Linked DNA regions of Saccharomyces cerevisiae S288C. The protein of the gene in region 1 binds, or shares a complex with, the protein of each later gene. Each region holds a gene or a part of one and is shown on either strand. Other genes may lie near its edges. The genes, in order: IMG1, MRPL9, MRPL3 and MRPL16.

What was found.
Region 2: IMG1 (region 1) and MRPL9 share a complex: the UniProt entries of both Saccharomyces cerevisiae proteins name them as parts of the mitochondrial large ribosomal subunit.
Region 3: IMG1 (region 1) and MRPL3 share a complex: the UniProt entries of both Saccharomyces cerevisiae proteins name them as parts of the mitochondrial large ribosomal subunit.
Region 4: IMG1 (region 1) and MRPL16 share a complex: the UniProt entries of both Saccharomyces cerevisiae proteins name them as parts of the mitochondrial large ribosomal subunit.

Annotation. Positions count from the first base shown.
Region 1 is NC_001135.5:207,896-213,092, reverse strand, and holds IMG1 (mitochondrial 54S ribosomal protein bL19m IMG1), read left to right. Parts: upstream 1-2,669; coding exon 2,670-3,179; downstream 3,180-5,197. Other genes in the region: ARE1 (sterol acyltransferase), read right to left, coding at 1-1,164; BUD23 (18S rRNA (guanine1575-N7)-methyltransferase), read left to right, coding at 1,548-2,375; RRT12 (Rrt12p), read left to right, coding at 3,483-4,958; PER1 (Per1p), read left to right, coding at 5,143-5,197. UniProt on the Saccharomyces cerevisiae protein: Component of the mitochondrial ribosome (mitoribosome), a dedicated translation machinery responsible for the synthesis of mitochondrial genome-encoded proteins, including at least some of the essential transmembrane subunits of the mitochondrial respiratory chain.
Region 2 is NC_001139.9:934,308-939,844, reverse strand, and holds MRPL9 (mitochondrial 54S ribosomal protein uL3m MRPL9), read left to right. Parts: upstream 1-2,961; coding exon 2,962-3,771; downstream 3,772-5,537. Other genes in the region: TOS2 (Tos2p), read left to right, coding at 853-2,721; exportin CRM1, read right to left, coding at 4,050-5,537. UniProt on the Saccharomyces cerevisiae protein: Component of the mitochondrial ribosome (mitoribosome), a dedicated translation machinery responsible for the synthesis of mitochondrial genome-encoded proteins, including at least some of the essential transmembrane subunits of the mitochondrial respiratory chain.
Region 3 is NC_001145.3:319,929-325,947, forward strand, and holds MRPL3 (mitochondrial 54S ribosomal protein mL44 MRPL3), read left to right. Parts: upstream 1-1,946; coding exon 1,947-3,119; downstream 3,120-6,019. Other genes in the region: MSS1 (Mss1p), read right to left, coding at 1-1,089; CSI1 (Csi1p), read left to right, coding at 3,372-4,259; PEX12 (ubiquitin-protein ligase peroxin 12), read right to left, coding at 4,308-5,507; YMR027W (putative methyltransferase), read left to right, coding at 5,949-6,019. UniProt on the Saccharomyces cerevisiae protein: Component of the mitochondrial ribosome (mitoribosome), a dedicated translation machinery responsible for the synthesis of mitochondrial genome-encoded proteins, including at least some of the essential transmembrane subunits of the mitochondrial respiratory chain.
Region 4 is NC_001134.8:142,835-148,329, forward strand, and holds MRPL16 (mitochondrial 54S ribosomal protein uL16m MRPL16), read left to right. Parts: upstream 1-3,352; coding exon 3,353-4,051; downstream 4,052-5,495. Other genes in the region: ERD2 (Erd2p), read right to left, coding at 13-34; MIN6 (Min6p), read left to right, coding at 559-738; CTP synthase URA7, read right to left, coding at 1,155-2,894; APL3 (Apl3p), read left to right, coding at 4,375-5,495. UniProt on the Saccharomyces cerevisiae protein: Component of the mitochondrial ribosome (mitoribosome), a dedicated translation machinery responsible for the synthesis of mitochondrial genome-encoded proteins, including at least some of the essential transmembrane subunits of the mitochondrial respiratory chain.

The DNA.
Region 1 (5,197 bases):
CTGGTACACGAGGACGGGGAACAAACAGAACATGAAGAAATTGCTGCAACTGATGTTGTTGGGGAAGTCGTTATCCTTGGTCTGGTAGTTCAATTCGAAAAGGCAAAAGTCGCAACTTTTTTGCAGAATCTCGCGGGTCTCTGGGGACAAAGATTCCTTGTATTTTTGCAACTGTTTGGAAGAGTACTCGAGTTCCTGCTTTATGTCCCAAAGATACCCGTTGTAAAAGGCAAACGAGTGGCTCTTCATAACAAACACCACGGAGTGCAGGAACAGGAAGATTCTCGTGACCCAGTTGAAATCAAAGTAGTAGACGTAAATGGGGAACGTCACGGGGATGAAAGCCAACTCGAAGATGCTCACTGCAACGAACCCAGTCCACTTCCAGTTGATGATCCGCTTTTTCACCAGCCAGTGCACGAAAACCACGAAGAAAGTGCACAGGAACATTGCCAAGTCCAACATTGCGATCGTGAACAAGTCCGTTGTCATGTACTGCACGATTTCCAGCTTATTCCATGCACTGCCGTACGACGCATAGTAATCTGTGCAGCACCTGATGGCTATCCAGCCCAAGAACATCCATGCGAACACGTAGATCCCTGAAAAGTTCGACTCCAGTTTTTCTCCTGGGGGGGCATCTGCCTTGTCCGTTTTCTCCGTAGTCTTCACCGTAGTCTTCACCGTGGCCTTGGTCTTGGTCTTTGTCAACTGTAAATTTTTGAGCTGTTTCTCCAGCACCGGACCTTTGAAAGTCGTCTGGAAGGGCACGTTGATGGCGCTGTCCAGGAGCGTGGGGCGAGGATCAAAACTCACGTCCCCAAAAAACGACACATACTTGCTAGCATCCTTTCGGTGGAACCTCGACCGAGACTTGCTCTTCAGGTGTGAAAGGTACTTTTGCATGTGGGCGTCCACAGGGTACTCCTCCTCCTGCTCCTGCTTCCCTGCCACACGTTCCGCCTCAGTCGACTCCACTCCTTCAGTCGACTCCACTGGCTCCACCAGCGACGTGGTAGACGACCGTGGCGAAACCTCCATGGACTCCTGTGGCAGGATCACGTTATCGTACGTGACCGAATGCCGTTTGTTGGCTTCTGCGGAATTGAGTCTGCGGATCTTAAGAAACTCTTCGTCTTGCAACAAATCCTTAGTCTCCGTCATTCTTGCAATCTGTTTTGGCGCTCTTGCTGCAAGCCGTGCTGAACAACCACCTGCGTGAGTGTGCCAATGGCGCCCCTTTCCTCCACCACGCTCGTCCTTCTTATATCATCCGCATGTTGCCAGGGTCTGCTGGGTGCTATTGTTCGCTAAACGAGTCCAACCACGGCCGGGTATTTGATGGCCAAGCCAGATTTTTTTTTTTTTTTCACTCTACACCATCTCACATTTTTCAATTTTATCGATAAAAAGAAGAGATGAGCAGCACATACATAGTGTGATAAAGAGGAAAAAAGCAGAAGAAGCAGAAGAAGAAGAGCATAGTAAAAAAGTAGTGCTAAAAAGGTGCGGTACGGAAACACAGGAAATATATCAGAGAAGAAATAATGTCACGTCCTGAGGAGTTGGCACCACCGGAGATTTTCTATAATGATAGCGAAGCACACAAGTACACGGGTTCGACCAGAGTGCAGCATATCCAGGCGAAGATGACGCTGAGGGCGTTGGAGCTTTTGAATCTGCAGCCGTGCAGTTTCATTCTGGATATCGGGTGCGGGTCCGGACTGTCTGGGGAGATTTTGACGCAGGAGGGAGACCATGTGTGGTGTGGTTTGGATATATCGCCCAGCATGCTTGCGACCGGTCTTAGTAGAGAGCTGGAGGGCGACTTGATGTTGCAGGATATGGGCACCGGGATACCGTTCCGGGCGGGCTCGTTTGACGCGGCTATTAGTATCAGTGCGATCCAATGGCTGTGCAATGCGGACACTTCATACAACGATCCTAAACAGCGGTTGATGAGGTTTTTCAACACATTGTATGCTGCACTGAAGAAGGGAGGGAAATTTGTGGCCCAGTTCTACCCGAAAAACGACGACCAGGTGGACGACATACTGCAGTCTGCCAAGGTGGCAGGGTTCAGTGGCGGGCTTGTGGTGGACGACCCAGAGTCTAAAAAGAATAAGAAGTACTACCTTGTGTTGAGCAGTGGGGCCCCACCGCAGGGGGAGGAGCAGGTGAATTTGGACGGTGTGACCATGGACGAGGAGAACGTCAACTTGAAGAAACAACTGCGCCAGCGCTTGAAGGGAGGCAAAGACAAGGAGTCTGCCAAGAGTTTCATTCTAAGAAAGAAGGAGCTCATGAAAAGACGTGGGAGGAAAGTTGCGAAGGACTCCAAGTTCACCGGGAGGAAAAGAAGACACAGGTTCTAGAAGAAACACACATCCTCACACGCATATTCTTTTGTATACTATAAAAATACACACTTATACATTTCCCTCTGTCTCTGTCTCCTTCTACATGTATACTTGTATATGTATACTTGTATATATACACTTATATCTGTATGTGAGTGGTCAATGGCTCCGCGCACTTTTATGTAGTGATGTATTTTCCTTTTTTTCTTGGTTTTCAATTTTGGTGCTTTGGAACTCCCAGTAAAGAAGAAGAAGAAGAATCGAGTCTTCCCTCTGAGCAGCTGCTGAAAGGGAGAGAGAACCATAGCGATGTGGAGCAGGAACGTCAGATTGCTTGGATCATGGACAAGGTCCTACATGGTCCCCGCCACCAAGAGAAAAACCATCCCCGTGTACCCACCTGTGCAGCGCATAGCTTCGTCGCAGATTATGAAGCAGGTGGCCCTCTCAGAAATAGAGTCTCTGGATCCCGGGGCCGTTAAGAGGAAGCTCATCAGTAAAAAGAACAAGGACCGCTTGAAGGCAGGCGACGTGGTCCGGATTGTGTACGACTCGTCCAAGTGCTCGTACGACACCTTTGTTGGCTACATCCTTTCCATAGACCGCAAACAACTGGTGCAAGACGCCTCGTTGCTGTTGCGGAACCAGATAGCCAAGACGGCCGTCGAGATTAGAGTGCCATTGTTTTCGCCGCTGATCGAGAGAATCGACTTGCTAACCCCCCACGTCTCGAGCAGACAAAGAAACAAACACTACTACATCAGAGGTACAAGGTTGGATGTCGGCGACCTCGAGGCAGGTCTAAGAAGAAAGAAATAGGCTAGGCGCGGGTTCTGTGGCCACCCATCTCCTGTATATAAGAAAAATAGTGCGTGTATAAAATCTACGTATACTAACTATGGGTAAAGTAAACCTTTTTGTACTGTTTTCTTTTTTTTTTTTTTGGTTTCCCGTAGTGATGACGTACGTGTATAGAGAATTGAAGCGAAAATAAAAAAAACGACACAAAATATTGTTCTCATTGGCTTTTTTATTTTCTATTTTACACAGCATATAGAGGTATACTCAAGTGCTAGACATCCTCTAACATCCGCCAAGAAAAACAGCAAAAAAACACTGGTCATGAAGCCACAGTGCATACTCATCTCTTTGCTGGTCAACCTCGCATACGCAGAGGAGTATTTGGTGAGGTTCAAAAATCCCACAGCATTCCAACAATTCACTTCGAATTCCAACAGGTCATGGAGACAGTTCATCGACAACAAAATTGAGAAGAAATTCTCCATCGGATCCTTCCGCGGCGTGACCATGAACCTGTCCAAGAACTTAGTGAACAAGCTGAAGAAAAGCCCACTGGTGGCTGATATTGTGCCCAACTTCAGGTTCGAAGCTTTTGAAGGCGACAGTGTAAATAGCGCCGAGTCGAGTTATACGTTTAACGCTACCGCCAAATACTCGTACGAAGACGTCGAGGAAGAGCAAAATATAACGTATCAACCAGACGCACCCCGTCACTTGGCCCGGATTTCCCGCCACTACCAACTCCCATTCGACGTTGGGGACAAGGACCGCTACAAAAGCTGGTTCAATTACTACTATGAACACGACTATCAAGGTCAAGACGTCAACGCCTATATCATGGATACGGGTATCTTCGCGGACCATCCGGAATTCGAAGACAGAGTCATCCAGGGGATTGACTTGACCAAAGAAGGGTTTGGCGACCAGAATGGCCACGGAACGCACGTGGCGGGACTCGTAGGTTCCAAAACGTATGGAGCGGCAAAGAGGGTCAATCTTGTGGAGGTCAAAGTCTTGGGCAAAGACGGGTCTGGCGAGGCCAGTAACGTTCTTAGTGGTCTGGAGTTCATCGTGGAACATTGCACAAAGGTCAGTCGCCCACAGGGTAAAAAATGCGTGGCCAATCTAAGTCTAGGGAGTTTCAGGAGCCCCATAATCAACATGGCAGTGGAGGGGGCCATTGAAGAAGGTATTGTATTTGTTGCCGCGGCGGGGAACTTCAATTTAGACGCCTACTGGGCCTCACCTGCGTCTGCAGAAAACGTTATCACCGTAGGGGCCTTTGATGACCACATTGACACGATTGCCAAGTTCAGCAATTGGGGGCCCTGTGTAAACATCTTTGCCCCAGGCGTGGAAATTGAGTCGCTATCTCATCTGAACTACAACGACACTTTAATTTTGTCAGGTACATCTATGTCGACGCCCATTGTCACCGGAGTTGCAGCGATCCTACTCTCGAAGGGAATTGAGCCTGAAATGATAGCACAGGAGATTGAGTATTTGTCCACGCGTAATGTTTTCCATAGAAGAACGTTGTTTTTCAAGCCTTCTACGCCAAACCAGATTCTTTACAACGGCGTCGATAAACTGGACGATCCATATGACGACGAAACGTTCCCTCGATTGAACATAGAGGCAATTGCTAAGGAACTGGAGGAGTACAATGCCACTTTACAAACTCCTATGTCTGAGAATCTTCAATCTGGTTCAAAACTGTGGGGTTGGAATAACGATGTCACACTACCTCTTGGTGAGATTCGATTGAAGAGGCGTGATTTTATGAAAAATTTGTAGTGTTTTTCTCTTTCTCTCATAAATAAATTATTGCATAATGTCATGTCAACATTAGTTTTTTCGCTCTTCTCTTGCGTATTCTTGTACTTTTCATTTTTCATTTTTCATAAAGCGAATAAAAGAGCAACCTAAGGTGTGAAACCATACCCTTCGGGAGAAAAGAAACAGAAGTGTGGCAAGAAATATGAGGTTAGCTGTGGTTGTGACCCTACTTGTTCACTGTTTCCTAGTGACATGCT
Region 2 (5,537 bases), on another chromosome or scaffold:
GTTCGTGGTGTTAGTATTCTCATCACGATTAACGAATATGAAAAAAAAAATTGAAAATTTTGTAGAAACGGAGTGCTCAGTATAAAAAGCGCATAGTAAGACTTTTTGTTAAATGTTTCTTTCCTCCTATATATTTTAAAATACTTTTCTTTCTTTTTGTTTTAAAACCTGCAAGCAGCTTTACAGATCAATGGCGGAGGGAGGTCAACATCAAGAACTGTGGGCCTTTTATTGCCTATAGAACTTATAACGAACATGGTTCTTGCCTTTTACCAGAACCATCCGGGTGTTGTCTCCATAGAAACAGGTAAAGCTGTCCGTTACTGTGGGCTTGCCATATTTTTTGGAACTTTTCTGCCCTTTTTCTCAATGAGTAAGGAGGGCGTTTATCTTTTCTATTTTATTTTTCTACAAATTTGATTCATGAGTCCATGGAACAAATATATAGAACTCATTTTCTTGTTTCGGTATATATATTAACTCCATTGAAGCATTTGCTTTTATCCTGACTGCATTTTTAGGAAGCTTTAAGTAAAGAATAGATAATATGGAGCAGAAATAAGACGATCACAGGAGCAAGTCGCGAAAAAAGAACAAGAATGCGCTTTTAAAGTTTCGCGTTCGATACATTTGAGACTAAACTATTCGAAAGTGTTCGATGTTCAATAATGACCAGTCGCGTAAAGGAGCATTTGCATAAAAGAGTATACCCTTTACTCTTGTTTCATCGGTTGTTGCCTTTATCTTAGGCTGCAATAGCATAGTAAAGCAACTTGTGCGATCGAAATATACTTCATAGTAACTGCAAGTGAGAAATAGTGCTTCCCCTACTTTAGATGCTATAAAGCGTCCATGTTTAGTCACTACCGCTATAAAGAAAATTCTTGCCAAAAAAGAGAGGCTATACCAGACAAATCTCGCGTATCACTGACATTTCTTCAGAAAAGAACCGATTCATCTAACGTCACTGTTGCAGTGGCCGTTGCTGTTCCCATTGGTGCTATTATTATAGTACTATCCGTCGTTTTAATAGTAGTATATAGGAGATGCAAAAAAGAACCTTCTATGCAGGATTTTGACCCAAATTTTGAGGGCGATTTATACTATTTACCGAAGATGGATTCTTCTATGAATTCTGCAAACTCAGACAGCAATGCCACAGAAAAGAGGTTTATTTATGGTGGTTATGACGATTTTTTGCAACCGTCAATCGAAAACTCACAATCTTTCAAAGATTATGTGAGGCGTATCAATGAGCATGCACCCTCCGCTTATAATATTGCTTCACTGGCTTCGCAGAATAACAGCAAGTTATCGGTCCCCTCCAAGCACATTGACCTTTCGAATAAGATTTCTTTCGAATCGTTAGAGAATTCTGAGCTGATTGTTTCACCACAACACTCAAATACTGGGCAAGACTGTGATCAAAGATGTGATAGTACGTCAAATCCTGATGTAAATGAAAAGTCCAGCCATAACAACGATAATCGACTTAAATCGAATTATACGAGTCGTAGCGGGCTCGAGCCTCAGTGTTCGAGAGAGGAGGAAGAAAATATTGACAGAATAAGAAGCATTTATAACATTTATTTTGAGAAAAGTAATAGCACGATACGATCCTCTGTAACTTCTTCGATACGGCGTGACTCTAAATTAAACATCGCTACAAGAAAAAGTGTAAATATGAGCTCTCAAGACAATCCAAATGATACTACATTAATTGAACAGAGTCACTTCGGAAGTACAACTGTCCAAGAAATTGATTCCAGTTCCAGCGCCAATGAGGAATATGAAGATGCAACTGATTATCTGCAAGTGCCGGCACCACAAGAGAATAAAAACATTGCATCGTCAGTATATTCAGAAGTAGCAACCAGAGAAAAAGTGATTCCCGAATCGTCTCTATCTCTTACATTCCCACCACCGAATGGTCTTTCAACGAGAATTACCTCATCAATATATTCTGACACGGTCGCTAAGGACCATATTCACTCTGCAAAGGCTCCCGTACGGGCCCTTTCGGAGGGTTCGGGTCAGTCAAATCTTACTTCTGCTCAGCAATATTCTACATATTTTATAGATCACTGCAACCAGAGCAATGATGACAATTACTACTATAATTATCCCCTCCCGTTAGAACATCCTCAAAATTATGAGAACATCGGAGATTTGCCCACGCCTACCCAATTCATTTATTCCACCTCTTCGCATTCCTTGACGTCATTCAAAGGAAGGCCTAAACCTCCAAAAACACTAAAACATGTACCTACAGCTAGGCTTAATGGGACAGCGTTGAATCCAATGGATCATCCTGAAATGTTTTACAGTTCGCCTACGAAAATACCGTCAACATCTTTGACAAAGCAATTTTGTACGCCCCTTCCATATCAGCTTAGACAAAGTGTTGTTATGACCAACCCATCAGAACTTTCTATGAAACCTCGCTATAAGCCTGCAGGATCTTTAAGAAATTTAATAAAGGCCCAATATCTCCCTGGTAACTCATCCACTACAACATCATCTTCTTTATCACAACCGCCGTCAACGTTGTCAAATGCAATAAATTTCCGTGTTAGTGGGTTATTGGATGACACTGACATCTTGCAGCCTCCTAGTGTGGGGGAAATCTTACCTTTTAAAGCTTCTACGGAAGACTTAAGGAAGCAACTGGGCACATCCCATAATTACGAAATAACACCGTACGAGAATGTACATGTATAAATAAAATTCAAAATCATGAAATGTTGTAACAGTAAATAAGCACCATAAATTCGTTTCTCGATGATCCTCTTCTTTCCTTAATTGAAATGCTAATGCCATTTCTCCTATTACAGTCGCGAGATATTTGTTTTCGGGTAATCCCTTGTCAAACGAACTTTATTGAAAAATATATGGACGATAAATTGACAACTGGGACGAGAAAGGGCAACTCTTTGAAAGCAAGAGAGAACAAATATAGCCATGTCGAAGTTCCTACAGGGATCAATATTTAGCATATCAAAACTTCATGTTAGATATTCTTCTACTCGGCCTTTTCTAGTGGCTCCTAGTATTGCTAACAGTATAACAACCGAGGCTCCAGCGATTAATCACTCACCTGAACTGGCAAATGCGAGAAAATGGCTACCAAAAAGATGCGGTTTAATTACTCGTAAGAAGGGAATGATGCCTTATTTTGATAAATCTACTGGTGAAAGAAGCGCCGCTACTATATTAGAAGTTAATAATGTTGAAGTAATAATGCATAGAACTTCGGAGGTCAATGGGTACTTCGCGTGTCAAGTAGGGTACGGATCAAGGCATTTGTCTAAAGTTAGCAGACAAATGCTTGGTCATTTCGCTTCTAAAGTTGTTAACCCAAAAGAGCATGTGGCCGAATTCCGAGTTAAAGATGAAAAGGGATTAATACCACCTGGCACATTATTGAAACCCTCTTTTTTCAAAGAAGGCCAATATGTTGACGTCAGATCAGTCAGCAAAGGCAAAGGTTTTACTGGTGTGATGAAAAGGTATGGATTCAAGGGTTTGAGAGCATCTCATGGTACATCTATTATGCATAGACACGGTGGTTCTTATGGTCAAAACCAAGACCCAGGTAGGGTACTGCCAGGAAGAAAGATGCCTGGTCATATGGGAAACGAGCATGTTACTATCCAAAATGTTAAAGTTTTGAAAGTCGACGATGAAAATAATGTTATTTGGGTTAAAGGCTCTGTGGCTGGGCCCAAAAACAGTTTCGTTAAAATTCAAGATGCAATCAAAAAAACTTGAGCATAAGGCGTATAAGTATTTTACTACAATCATGTACATACATCAATAATAACAATAAAATGGGTAATCACTTAAGAATCTTCAAATAATATTCTTTACTTTTCCATGAAGTTGGCTAAATAGTATTTAGTACTATATTAGAGTATTGGAACTTTGAAGAACCAATTTACATACAATATGAAGTGAAAAAGAAATGAAAACCCCGTGGTTATAAATTAGAGACTAGTTAATAAAAGGGAAAAAATATTGGAAATTTAAAGAATGATACGCCACCGCCTCTAATCATCAAGTTCGGAAGGTTTTAATAACCCACCAATCTTGGCAGCTTTTTCCCTCTCTAGTCTATTCTGTTCCATTAATGCATTCTCTTTATCTTCAGCAAACAAATAATCTGTTGGATCACCTCCGACTTCTTTGATTTGCACCAAAAAGTCCCTCAAAGTGCCTTTGAAGACCACTAAGTCTTTGTATTGTTTAGTTAATGCAGAGAGAAAACTTGCGATTTGTTCGGATGTTAAATGGGGGAATGCATTACTTAACATATTAGCCAAATATTGGCTTAAGTAGACTTGATTTGAAGTTCCTTGTGGTACCTCAGCTTCTTGATATAATGGTACCGAAATCTTGTTATCATAAACCAAAGAAATCAACTTCATTAGTAACAAAGCTTGCTTAGAAAAACCGGATTTGTGGTCGGAATCGGTTAAAACAAAAAACGTTTCACTGACAAAAATGAAAAAATAATTCTTGTGGAACTCATTTGCAAATGGGACATTTCCCATTCTTTCAATGTTTTTCACTAGGTCTAATGCAATCTGTAGACCATTAACTTCGACATCTCTATTGTTATGTTTGAACGCCCAACAAATAGCGTCAACAAACAATTTAAAGGCAGCCGGAGGTAGTTCCAAAAATGCAGCAAATGATTTCTCATTGATGACCTTCAATAACTTGTAAAATTCTACACGATGCTCTGGATATTCTGTGAAGTCTTTGTTAATCATGTCCAAAGTGCATTCAAATACACTCTGTAAAATTAAAATAACACCTTGTGGGATCATATGACCAACCTTTTCTACTACTGTTGTCATACAATTTAGCACTTCGGCGTCCCTTGCATCAGGAACGTTGTTCATATAGTCTTCAAGTACAGCGTTCAATAATGGCTCAACTAACACTTTAACGACATCATCCAAATTTCTCGCCTTGGATATATAGGTCTCAACAAGCTTCAGAATCTCTTTTTTGATGGTTCTCAAACCACGAACCTTTGGTGTCTTCGTAGCAATTAGACCTTCTGCGGCAACTTGAGCAGAAATCATCGAAGAAACAGCTCTGTATAGCTGAAGCATATTGTAATAGATGTGACCCAACTGTGGATAGAAATCTGCTCCCATTGAGGTGCAGACAGCTACATTGGTTTTTATAATATTCGCAATAATTTTGACAGTTTCAGAATCTAACAACAATGTTGGGTTAGCAGTGGATTGTTCCACTATAGTGTCCCAAGCCATATTTGGCAGTTGCATCAAATCACTTAATAATCTATTTCTCTCCGCTACGCTTCTTTCTTCAGAAATAATAATACCACAAGCCTTGTAAAATGTATGGACCTGTTGCGGCTGTAGGTCAGCAGTTGTCTTTTGAATATCCCTAATTATTGTTTGGATGAAAGGCTCAGACTCACGGGGTTGTTGAATAACAAAATGATATTTACATTTTTGAACAATCTTAATGAATGTGTCACATGCCATATCCTGAACACC
Region 3 (6,019 bases), on another chromosome or scaffold:
ATCTACAATGAATAAACATAAGTCGCTCTGTACACTTTTCTTCTTTGCTCTATCTATACCCAGCATTTCTATCTTGTCAGAACTCTTTTCTCTTATACCTGCCGTATCACAGATAATAACCTTATAGCCATTCACGTTTATCATTGCATCAATAGAATCCCTAGTAGTGCCAGGTATATCACTGACAATTGATATATCATCGTTAGTCAAGCTGTTAACTAATGATGACTTACCGACATTGGGAGCACCAAGTAATACCAGCTTTATTCCATTTTGCAGTATGGTAGACTTTTCGACTTTTTGCATGAAAGTAACGATTTGGTCTCGCAGACATATGATGTTCTTTTCTACATTATGGAAAATCTCATCCGTATTCTGAATTTCTTGGCTATTATCGTCGGCAAAATCTATTATAGCAGTCAACTGTGCCATATTCTCGATAATGGTTTCCCTCCAGTTCTCAAATAGGATTTTGTTATCCCCATTGAAACTTGACAAGGCAGATCTCCTTTGAGATTCTGTTTCCGAATCAATAAGATCTTTGATACCTTCAAGTTGGGTAAGGTCAAACTTTCCATTTTGAAACGCCCTCCTGGAGAAGTCGCCAGGCAAGGCAAATCTTATATCTTTACCACTGCTTCTATCGTGTAACGAGCCGATAGCTTTCAGTATACTATTAACTACGGCTTTCCCGCCGTGAACGTGCAGCTCTAACACATCCTCACCAGTAAATGAATAAGGAGCTTGGAAATATAGCAACAACGATGTGTCTAATAATATTTTACTTTCCTTTTGATCATGAGGTTTCACACTACAAGAGGACGGCGAATAAATGTTCCTCAAAATAGCCTTCCTGATCGGCGGAACTGTACTTGAATCAACTAGTCGATTGTAAATGTACTTAGCATGGGTACCAGATATTCTTATGATTGCTATCGCAGAGGTTTGATTTGCTGGTGTAGATAATGCATATATGGTTGGTTGCTGGAAGGTATAAGGCTTTGCAAGTCCGGAGTACCTCTTTAACGACCTTCTTACGAGAAAGGATCTCGAAATAAGCCGTGATTGTAAGAAAGATGCACTATTCATAAATAGAATACTTATTAACCATATATAACATTCTCTAAGTAGATAGCAGTCGTATGGAATATTGCTGTATCTTCATGTAACCTCGTAAAAGACGTTATATATGGGTTAGTTAGCCAAAAAAATAAAAAATGGACGAGTCCGGAATCGAACCGGAGACCTCTCCCATGCTAAGGGAGCGCGCTACCGACTACGCCACACGCCCGATTTGTATTGAAGACTTTGAAGAAGTATAGAAAACATAAATGTAGGATACATTTTTAAACTTTTATTAATGAAACCAATTTGAAGACATGTGGCAACCCGTGTTACTCATATATATATATATATATATATACAACTATCAGAAGATTATCAATCTAATAGATCTTTAACGCCGCCTCAGTACTTTCTGAACTGCAAGTAGAATATTTTTTTCTGGAATCGGCACATTCACATTCAGACGTATACGATGTCAGCACTTAGATTGCTACTATAGCAACTCATTTATTATTAATCCCCATTCGTTCCGATATGGATGGCATATTATTACCTTTAAGAAAGGTGGAGTTCCAAAGATTCATCAATTTTACTGTTTATAGAAAACGTTACGGAAAGATGAAAAGTAAACACCAAGGTCTCTTATGCCTTGACATAAAGAATACGGAATAGAATGATTGTAGACGCAACAAGATGAATAATTAATGGCAAATTATTATCCTATTAGATATAAATTACAGTCGCTTTAATGCGTGATTATAGAAAAGGTCCTTACAATATGCAGCCGGGTAAAGAGTGAAGTTTCCCGCCTCTGAAAAAGAGCAATACTAAAATAATCTGAAAAGAATTGGTGAAAAGAAAGCTGTAGTTATATATACAGAATGGGCATAGTTTTGAAAAGAGCAATAGCAGCAGGTATGAAACCTTTTCCAAACAGTACGTGGCATTGGAGCCGAACCATAAGACCTTTCTCACAGCATTTGTCTAGCACATGCTTTCTGCAGCAATCCTCGAGATTTACTTCAAAACGATACCTACACCTTTCAACATTAACACAACAAGAAAAGCGCTTCCTACCCGAATCTGAACTTGCTAAATATAAGGAATACTACCAGGGTTTGAAGAGCACTGTAAATGAAATACCTGAATCAGTGGCCTCTAAGTCACCTTCGTTAAGAACGCTTCATAAGAGATTACAATTACCTAATGAGTTGACCTATTCAACACTTTCCAGATGCTTAACGTGTCCCTCTGCAAAACTACCCGACAAGATAAATAATCCTACAAAAGGTGCAGCTTTCGTTAATACTGTACCTACTAATAAATACTTGGACAACCACGGTTTAAACATCATGGGAAAGAACTTGCTCTCTTACCACGTTACAAAATCCATTATACAGAAATATCCGAGACTACCCACTGTGGTTTTGAATGCTGCGGTTAACGCATATATATCAGAGGCGGTACTGGCGCACATTGCTAAATACTGGGGTATTGAAGTAGAAACTACGTCTGTTTTATCACGCTATTTGAAAATGGAACCATTCGAATTCACTTTGGGAAGACTCAAATTCTTTAATAATTCATTGAACTCTAAGGACGGTATTGAGCTAATCACCGGAAAGAACTTTTCAGAAACAAGCGCTCTTGCAATGAGCGTGAGGAGTATAATAGCTGCCATCTGGGCAGTAACGGAGCAAAAAGATTCTCAAGCTGTTTACAGATTTATTGATGATCATATAATGAGCAGGAAATTGGATATCACGAAAATGTTCCAGTTTGAACAACCTACAAGAGAATTGGCTATGCTATGTCGTAGAGAGGGGCTGGAGAAACCTGTATCGAAACTGGTCGCTGAGTCTGGTAGACTATCGAAATCACCTGTCTTTATTGTGCATGTATTTTCAGGCGAAGAGACATTAGGTGAAGGTTATGGTTCCTCATTAAAGGAGGCAAAAGCAAGAGCCGCTACTGATGCTTTGATGAAATGGTATTGCTACGAGCCTCTTGCTCAACAGGAACCAGTTATTGATCCTGGCACTGTTGTTGTTTAGTTCTGTGTTTGCCATTTTGTAGATAGAGAACTCCTTAACCAGAATACATTCTTGTACATATATATATACACGTTGGTACGATATGCGTTTACTTTATGTGTACTAAAATATATAAAAGTGAACAGAAGCATGTTCCTTGTTTACTACTATATCTTACCAGGAAACAGACAAAAAAAAAAAAGACTTGCTATATTTAAAGAGAACGCACATTTGTGAGGGGATAATAACACAAAGCAAAGTAATATAGGGTAAATGGACCTCCTAAAATTCAGTTCTCTAGCTATATCAGAAATTAACTTCCTGCACGAGTCATCGTTTGACTCGATAGACCACTCTTGGTTTTTATTGATAGGTTGCAAATTGGATCAAGATGATGAAATTTACATCCCAATAAATGGTAATGAAGCAGAGTCTCAATGGTATATTGAAAAAGTTATACGAATCCCGATGCAGGAAAATGATAAAATAAATCAAGAACGCCTAGAAAGGAGAATTAACCTAACAAAAGTGACTCAAAAGGACATTTGTATACTGGGTATTCTTGATTTATGTCAGTTAGAAGAGGACGAAAATATCACTAATAAAGTGACGGAGAAAGTGCTCACCCAATTGACCGCCTTGGCATTGAAATATCTGATAAAATATAACGTGTTTCGCCAACATACCTCCTTCCAAGAAGCTGTCAATAGTTTAAAGGGTTATAAAATTGAAAATAGTGTACAGATAGGCGCGGAAATTATCCTTGATTTTCTACAAGATAAAGTGCAAATTAAGGATGTAAATGACAGATACCAAATTCCCACACCTAATAATACCGTAGACCCAGGTTTTGATGAGTTTCAATTAATTGACATGAAGGATAAAGAAATCAATATTCAAAAATATAATAATAATACCATAAGAAAATTACTCGAGAAGATTAATCGAATGATAATATTCTTGAAAAATTATGATGCCACTGACAAGCCTTTCTCTTCCACGCAAGATGTAATACTTCGAAAAATATCAATGCTTGTAACACAACTGCAAAGAGGTGGAACAAGTGACATGAATTACCTGCTGGATAACAAAATTAATGAAATAAAATTATTAGAAATTTCGTGTAAACAATGGGAAATTTCAAATATGTTAAAAAAATAACTAGAATATATATATTACACAGAATTATTTTCTTCACTTCCTCCGTCATCAGATTAGTAGCTTCCTAATACCTGTCACAACTTCCCATTTATTCGTGTGTTTGTTGTATGTACAACCCAGCAGCTTTTTATTGGTAACGGGACAATGGCCTTCATTATTAACCAAATAGCTTATGGCACACGGGTAGCATGCCACGTATCCTGTTTCCAATACACAGGGGTTTTGTACAGTTTTTTCGCAAACGGGACAGGCCTCAGAAACTCCCTCTTTATCTTCCGTTTTGTCACTATGTGAGGAGAAAGGCGGCCTTGGAATATCTTCATCCAAGTCATTGACCCTTTTCTGCAATTTAGTAGTCATGTCTTGTGTGGTCCACCATTGGTACACTCTTAGGACAAATATAAAAGTGGGGAAGAATTGCGAACCCATAAATGTTAAAAATCTGGGTATAATCGATAATTGTCCTTGCATTAGCGCGAAAATTGACGATATATTTGTTTTCCTTAGCCTATTATCCATCCCTTTCGTCTCTTTGAGACCAGAGAGTTCTGACGATAGTGGTCTTACCGTTGTGTACTCTATCTTGAATAAGTATTGCAACAAGGAAACCGACCCTGTTCTTTTAGTTAAAAATAATAATTTAACGAGTAAATTGGATAACGCTAATAATTTCTTAATAAATGGATAAATTCTTAGAAACGCTCTCTTGGGCCATTTATTTTCAGTTTCATCGCTGCTGAATATATTATTCATTGATATTTTCTCTAATATTTCATCCAACTTCGCTGTGATATAGGGGAGAATAATTTTTTCCAAAAAAATAACACTCTTTTGCTGTTGATTCAGCTGCAAACCTTGGGGCCATTCACTCTGGCCCTTTGGATTTAAACATTGTGTTAAGGCAAGATTTCTGTCCCTCGAACTAAATAGTTGCAATCCATAAAACCGATCAATAAACGTAGAATTGTATGTCTTTAGATGATACCATTCAACAAACCCTTTTATCGCTTGAAACCACTCAAAAAAGTACTTGTTCAGCCGCAAAGTATACCTGTTAGGGAAGTTCGCCACTAAATGATTTGCCAGTAGATAACGGATGGATGCGGGCAGTAACGAATCGATTTCTTGTGATGACATTATCTCAAAGATAGTCGGATACAATGGTTCTAATCCCACCCCATTTCGACCGCTTGTTGAAGACCCTCGACTAGATTGTCCTGCAGACGGTAGGTTTGAATAAAAGCTCATCACTTGACGACTACCTTCCTTTCCTTTGCTTTATTTTCCCTGCTTATTCCCTTGCTTCTTCTGGAGCCTTCATGCAAAACCGTTTCTCTACCTAATGTGATTCTGCGGTAAGCATTGCTCTTAAGCATCTGAATGAGACGAAAGGATGACTCCACACTAAATTGTACCTCTCTTCTCCAGTGACTGAATTGGAGGTTACCATTGCCAGTGACGGTAATCGTCCACATCGATGATTTCTTAGTATAACCCACACACCTCTCAGACATAGAGGCCCCAGGTGCAACGTGATAGTATAACTGCCCGGAAGTAGAAATACAACTATTCCCTTCATATTAAAAGAATAAAACTTCATTTGAACTCTTTAAAATTTAGTGGTTCATTGTGGTCCTTGTGTAAACGGAAAAAAAGGATATTACGGTAGTGGGTAGTACATAACAAGAGATGACTATCCCTGGAAGATTTATGACAATTGATAAGGGCACTTTTGGTGAATACACTGCTAGCACCCGTTG
Region 4 (5,495 bases), on another chromosome or scaffold:
ATAGTAACATACCTAAGATTCTAAACGGATTCATTGCTTACTGATTATGCCTCAACTTGCGCGTATATCTCACTCTTGAACAAGTGCCCTCAGCAAATTCATCTGCCTCGAAATTTGAACTTATTTTTAACGTGTTCAATATTTAGCTAAAACGTCGTTTTCAGTCCGGGTACCGCAGATAAGCCATCCCGGATCTTTAAAGGAAAACGAGGAATTCAGTGGTGCAGACTACACTTTAATCTCAATTGACCAAAGTGAGTCCTCAAGTAAGACGAATATTATTTTTCTTTCACGACTCAATTGAATTCCTAATAACACTTTTGTTTGCTGTATTAGCTTTTAGCTTTGAGAGCGATGAAGCAAGAGAGAAAAATAAGGGTAGAAAAAAAAATTAGAAATTGAGGAGGGGAAGGTATTCTAACCTGGTGAATTCCCAGATACATAAGTATAAGAATTTCTCGGCAGAGATTATATACAATAAAGAATAAGGTTCAGTTGGACGATTGCGATAGTAGCGTGAATAACAATTTACTTTAATCAATCGTTAGGATACTTCTAATGGGCTTTTTTAACAATAATCCGGTAATTGAATTCTTCCACAGAATAACGAGAAAACCCAGTACCATTGCGATGTGGGTGTTTGCTGGTCTGATTTGTTCAAGTACATTTTATTTAATGTTCATGTCATCACCTACAATCGACTTCAACTCGAAGAGTAAGAAAAAAAATGATAAATAATCTCCCTGTTCAGTACTTTGGTAAAAGCACGCCATGGAAAATTATTTAGAACTTCCTTATACAAAACTAAATATTTGAGCATATTCTATATTCATACATAGATACATTCTTTGAATTTCAAGACTCTTATTTCTCATTTTGAAAGCCAAGATTGGAGGAAAAATCGTAAATTTTTATCCAGTCAGTAACAACTGTTGGCCAGTCGAAAACTCTATCGAAACAGCTTCTATATGTCAGATAAGATAGATTTATTAAATTAAATATATTCAGGAGAGGAAAGACAACATGAACGAAAAAAAAAAAACAGTGTAGAGAAGCACTACAAATATTTTCTCTTCCAAAAAATATAATATACATAAAAAAATTAGAAATTTATCTTTGTTAATGCAGTAGACTTTTAATTCTAAAATTTTGATTTAAAAGTTGAATTTGTTTTCGCCGGCCTCAAGATCGTACTTACCTTCAATGACATCTTGAAGGATACCAGCGGAAGCAGCAACTAAACCCAAAAATGGTTTGGATGGATCTAAGACCTTTGATGTGTATTCTGGGTGATATTGAGTAGCAATATAGTATGGGTGATTCTTTAATTCCAAAATCTCACAACGCTTTCCAGTGTCGTCCTTACCTACAAAGATCAACCCGTTGTTTTCCAATTCATCAACCATCTTTGGATTGATTTCGTAACGGTGACGGTGTCTTTCATGGACTTCGGAGACGTCACCGTATAACTTCTTGATTTGACTCCATTCAGTTTCATTTTGGAAAAATGTTGGTCTCAAACCTAATCTCATTGAGCCCCCCATGGTTTCCTTGTCAATTTCAGGCATGAAAACGACAACGTGATTTTTTTCATCAATGTCTGGATAAAATTCTGCCGAATGACTGTCTTTTCTTCCCAACACACTACGTGTAAATTCAATGGTGGCAATTTGTAAACCCAGGCAAACCCCTAAGAATGGAATGTGATTTTCACGAGCCCATCTAGCAGCCAAAACCATACCTTCAGTACCTCTAACACCAAAACCACCGGGGATTAAGATACCGTCTGCGGTACTGACCATGTTCCATGCTTCATGAAATTTAGTTTTGTTGCTTTCTTGTGCTTCAGGTTCCAAATCAGTAGCTTCCACCCATTTAATGTCTAACTTACGACGACACTTCATGGATGAATGTTCCAATGCTTTTATCACTGATAGATAAGAATCTTTCAAGTTGGTGTATTTCCCAACCAAAGCAATCTTCACTGTTTCCATGGATTCATCGAAGTTACCTGTTGTGGCCTTCCATTTAGACAATAATTCCAGGCCTCTTTGTTTTTCTTCTTCTGTAAGTGATATTTCATCTAACTTTAATCTGGCGTGTAAGTAATCAATCATCTTTTGTTCCAGTAGCAACAATGGGACGTGATAAGTAGAATTAACATCGTGAACGTTAACCACCTGTTCAGGCCCCACATGACAAAACATGGCAATCTTATCGATTGTTGGTTTATCCAAAGTTTCACTACATCTACAGGCGATCATATCTGGAACTAAACCAAGAGACCTCAAACCTTTGATGGCAGCTTGAGTTGGCTTAGTTTTTTGTTCACCGTGGATGACAGGAACTAGAGAAACGTGTATCAAGGCAAAATTTTCCTTTCCAACTTTAAATTGGAATTGTCTTAGTGCCTCCACAAAAGGAGCACTTTCAATGTCACCAACTGTCCCACCCAATTCAATGATACAAACATCTGGTTCCATACCGGTGTCATCTACAGGAATTTTGGCCACGCGCTCAATCCAATCTTGGATAGCGTTGGTCAAATGAGGGACAATTTGCACGGTTTTGCCTAAATAGTCACCTTTTCTTTCCTTAGCAATAACGTGCGAGTATATTTTACCAGTAGTAATGTTATGATCTTTAGTCAAAGTAACTCCAAGGTATCTCTCGTAGTTACCCAAGTCCAAATCTGTTTCACCACCGTCGTCAAGCACGAAACATTCACCATGTTCCAAAGGAGACATAGTACCTGCATCAATGTTCATATAAGGGTCAATTTTAATTGACGTAACCTTTAAACCGAGGGTTTTCATTAGCATACCAGTTGAAGATGCAAGAACACCTTTACCGATACCCGAAATGACACCACCTGAAACAACAACGTACTTCATTTTCTGTCTATAAGTTTCTTTTGTTCTATTGACCAATTCACTGAGAAACTGCCTGAAACTTTTTCGACCTTAGAATGGCAGAAAAATGGCAAATACTGTAAAATACTTAACATTTAACTAAATTTTATTCTATGCTTTTCCTCTCGATGAGATGAGCTGTGAAAAATTTTGAAAAAAAAAAAAAAAAAAAAAAAAAAAAAAATTTGTTATCACCAATAACGAGAAACCTAACTCTAAAACTTAGGGTCAAAGAACAGAACCCTAGGCTTTGTATCCAGTTGAATCACTAATTACGAAAGAATGCTGGTGGAAATAATAATATCATATTGGTGCTCAAATAACAAGAAGACTTCTTTGGAAGAAATTATTACCAATTAACAGTCCACTTGTAGAGCGTACATATTGCCGGGAAGTTGATTACCTTTCACCAGAGGTACAGAGGAATAGAATTTTGCAACATGTTCCCCTATTTAACAAGAATGAATTTATCCATAAAGATGGGAGGGCTAACTTTAAAAGAAAGTTCCCCCAATGCTTTTTTAAATAACACCACTATTGCTAGGAGATTCAAGCATGAATATGCCCCACGTTTCAAAATCGTACAGAAAAAGCAAAAAGGTAGAGTGCCAGTTCGTACAGGTGGTTCAATAAAGGGATCCACTTTGCAATTTGGTAAGTACGGATTACGACTGAAAAGCGAAGGTATTAGGATATCCGCGCAACAGCTGAAGGAAGCAGATAACGCAATTATGAGATATGTCAGGCCTTTAAACAATGGTCATTTGTGGAGGCGTTTGTGTACAAACGTTGCTGTATGTATCAAGGGTAACGAAACAAGAATGGGTAAAGGTAAAGGTGGGTTTGACCACTGGATGGTGAGGGTACCCACAGGGAAGATCCTTTTCGAAATAAATGGTGATGATTTGCATGAAAAAGTCGCACGGGAAGCCTTCAGAAAAGCAGGCACCAAGTTACCTGGGGTATATGAATTTGTATCCTTGGATTCTCTGGTTAGAGTTGGATTACATAGTTTCAAAAATCCTAAAGACGACCCAGTGAAGAATTTTTACGATGAAAATGCAAAGAAGCCATCAAAGAAGTATTTGAATATTTTAAAGTCTCAAGAACCACAGTACAAACTCTTCAGAGGACGTTGAACGGATTGAACACACCATGTATACATGTATATAACTATTGAAAAATATCGATATTCACAATCAAGTAATCTAGCCATGGCTATGAGTTTATTAATTCTAGTATGCACTGTATACTCTCTGCGGAAGAATAGGAGTTTTTCCCCGGAGTGAGCGCTGAAGAAACACATGACGACGTGAAAAAACACTTGTTTGATCCAGCTGAGGTATAAACACTGAGAAATATTTGAGGGTCAAAGAAGCACTAGGAACGTTACAGTTGGAATTTGCTAGTCAATCGAGTTTCCAATTTCGCAACCTTTATTATAGTACTAATCTTATAAGCCATGGATCGCAAAAAAACACTTATAAACTCAAGTGTTTCTAATAATAACAGTACCATCAAGGGCCTACAGTTATTCATTGCAGATCTTCGTTCTGCACAACAAGCACAAGAGCAGGAAAAGAGAATACAATCTGAAATTGTCAAAATTAAACAGCATTTCGATGCTGCAAAGAAAAAACAAGGCAATCACGACAGATTAGGTGGCTATCAAAGAAAGAAGTACGTTGCCAAGCTAGCCTATATATATATTACTTCTAATACGACAAAACTAAATGAAATTTTATTCGGGTTGGAGCAAACGGTAGAGCTGTTGAAGTCCAGCATATTTTCTGAAAAATTCATTGGATATATGACCCTTGAGTTGCTTTATGAACGTAGTGAAGTTGTTGCCAAAGTTAACGATGAGGTGAATTATCAACTGATGAAAGATCTCTCTTCTTCCGATGATAATTTCGTAATGTTGGCGCTGAATTTTGTTGGTGTAGTAGGAGAACTTACGAACCGTCTAGCGTACAACGATGATATCACAACAGGAGTATTCAAGATATTAAGATCACCGACCTCCTCCATTTATCTCAAGAAAAAATCAGCATTGTCATTTCTAGCACTATTGAAAAGTAATCATTCTATACTGACCGAAGATTTACAACGTAAGCAACTATGGATACAAAGGATATTAAGCTTATTGGATGATACGGAAAACTATAGGTTAACTTTAGCTACGATTCCGTTAATAGAATTCATTGCAAAATACATTGATCCCAGTTACTGTACGAGACTATTACCACAGCTAACAGAAATTTTGTACAATTGTGTTGTTGTTGGTACTTCAAGATCTAGTGACAATCAGTTTCCGTTAGAATATACGTTCGCGAATATGCCAAATCCTTGGCTTATCACAAAAGTTGTCTCTTTGTTGAGCATATTGATTGCCTCACCAACTGAGAGGGATTCTGGCTCATTACTACAAACCAACAACATAGATAATGAATTACTAAATAAACTTCGAAAGTGTGTTTCCGTTGCCATCGAATTAGGAACCAGACAAGCTCAAGATCCCATGGAACGTATCGTCCAAAACACAGTATTGTTTTCATTGATCAATTTCGCCTCTAAGCTAGA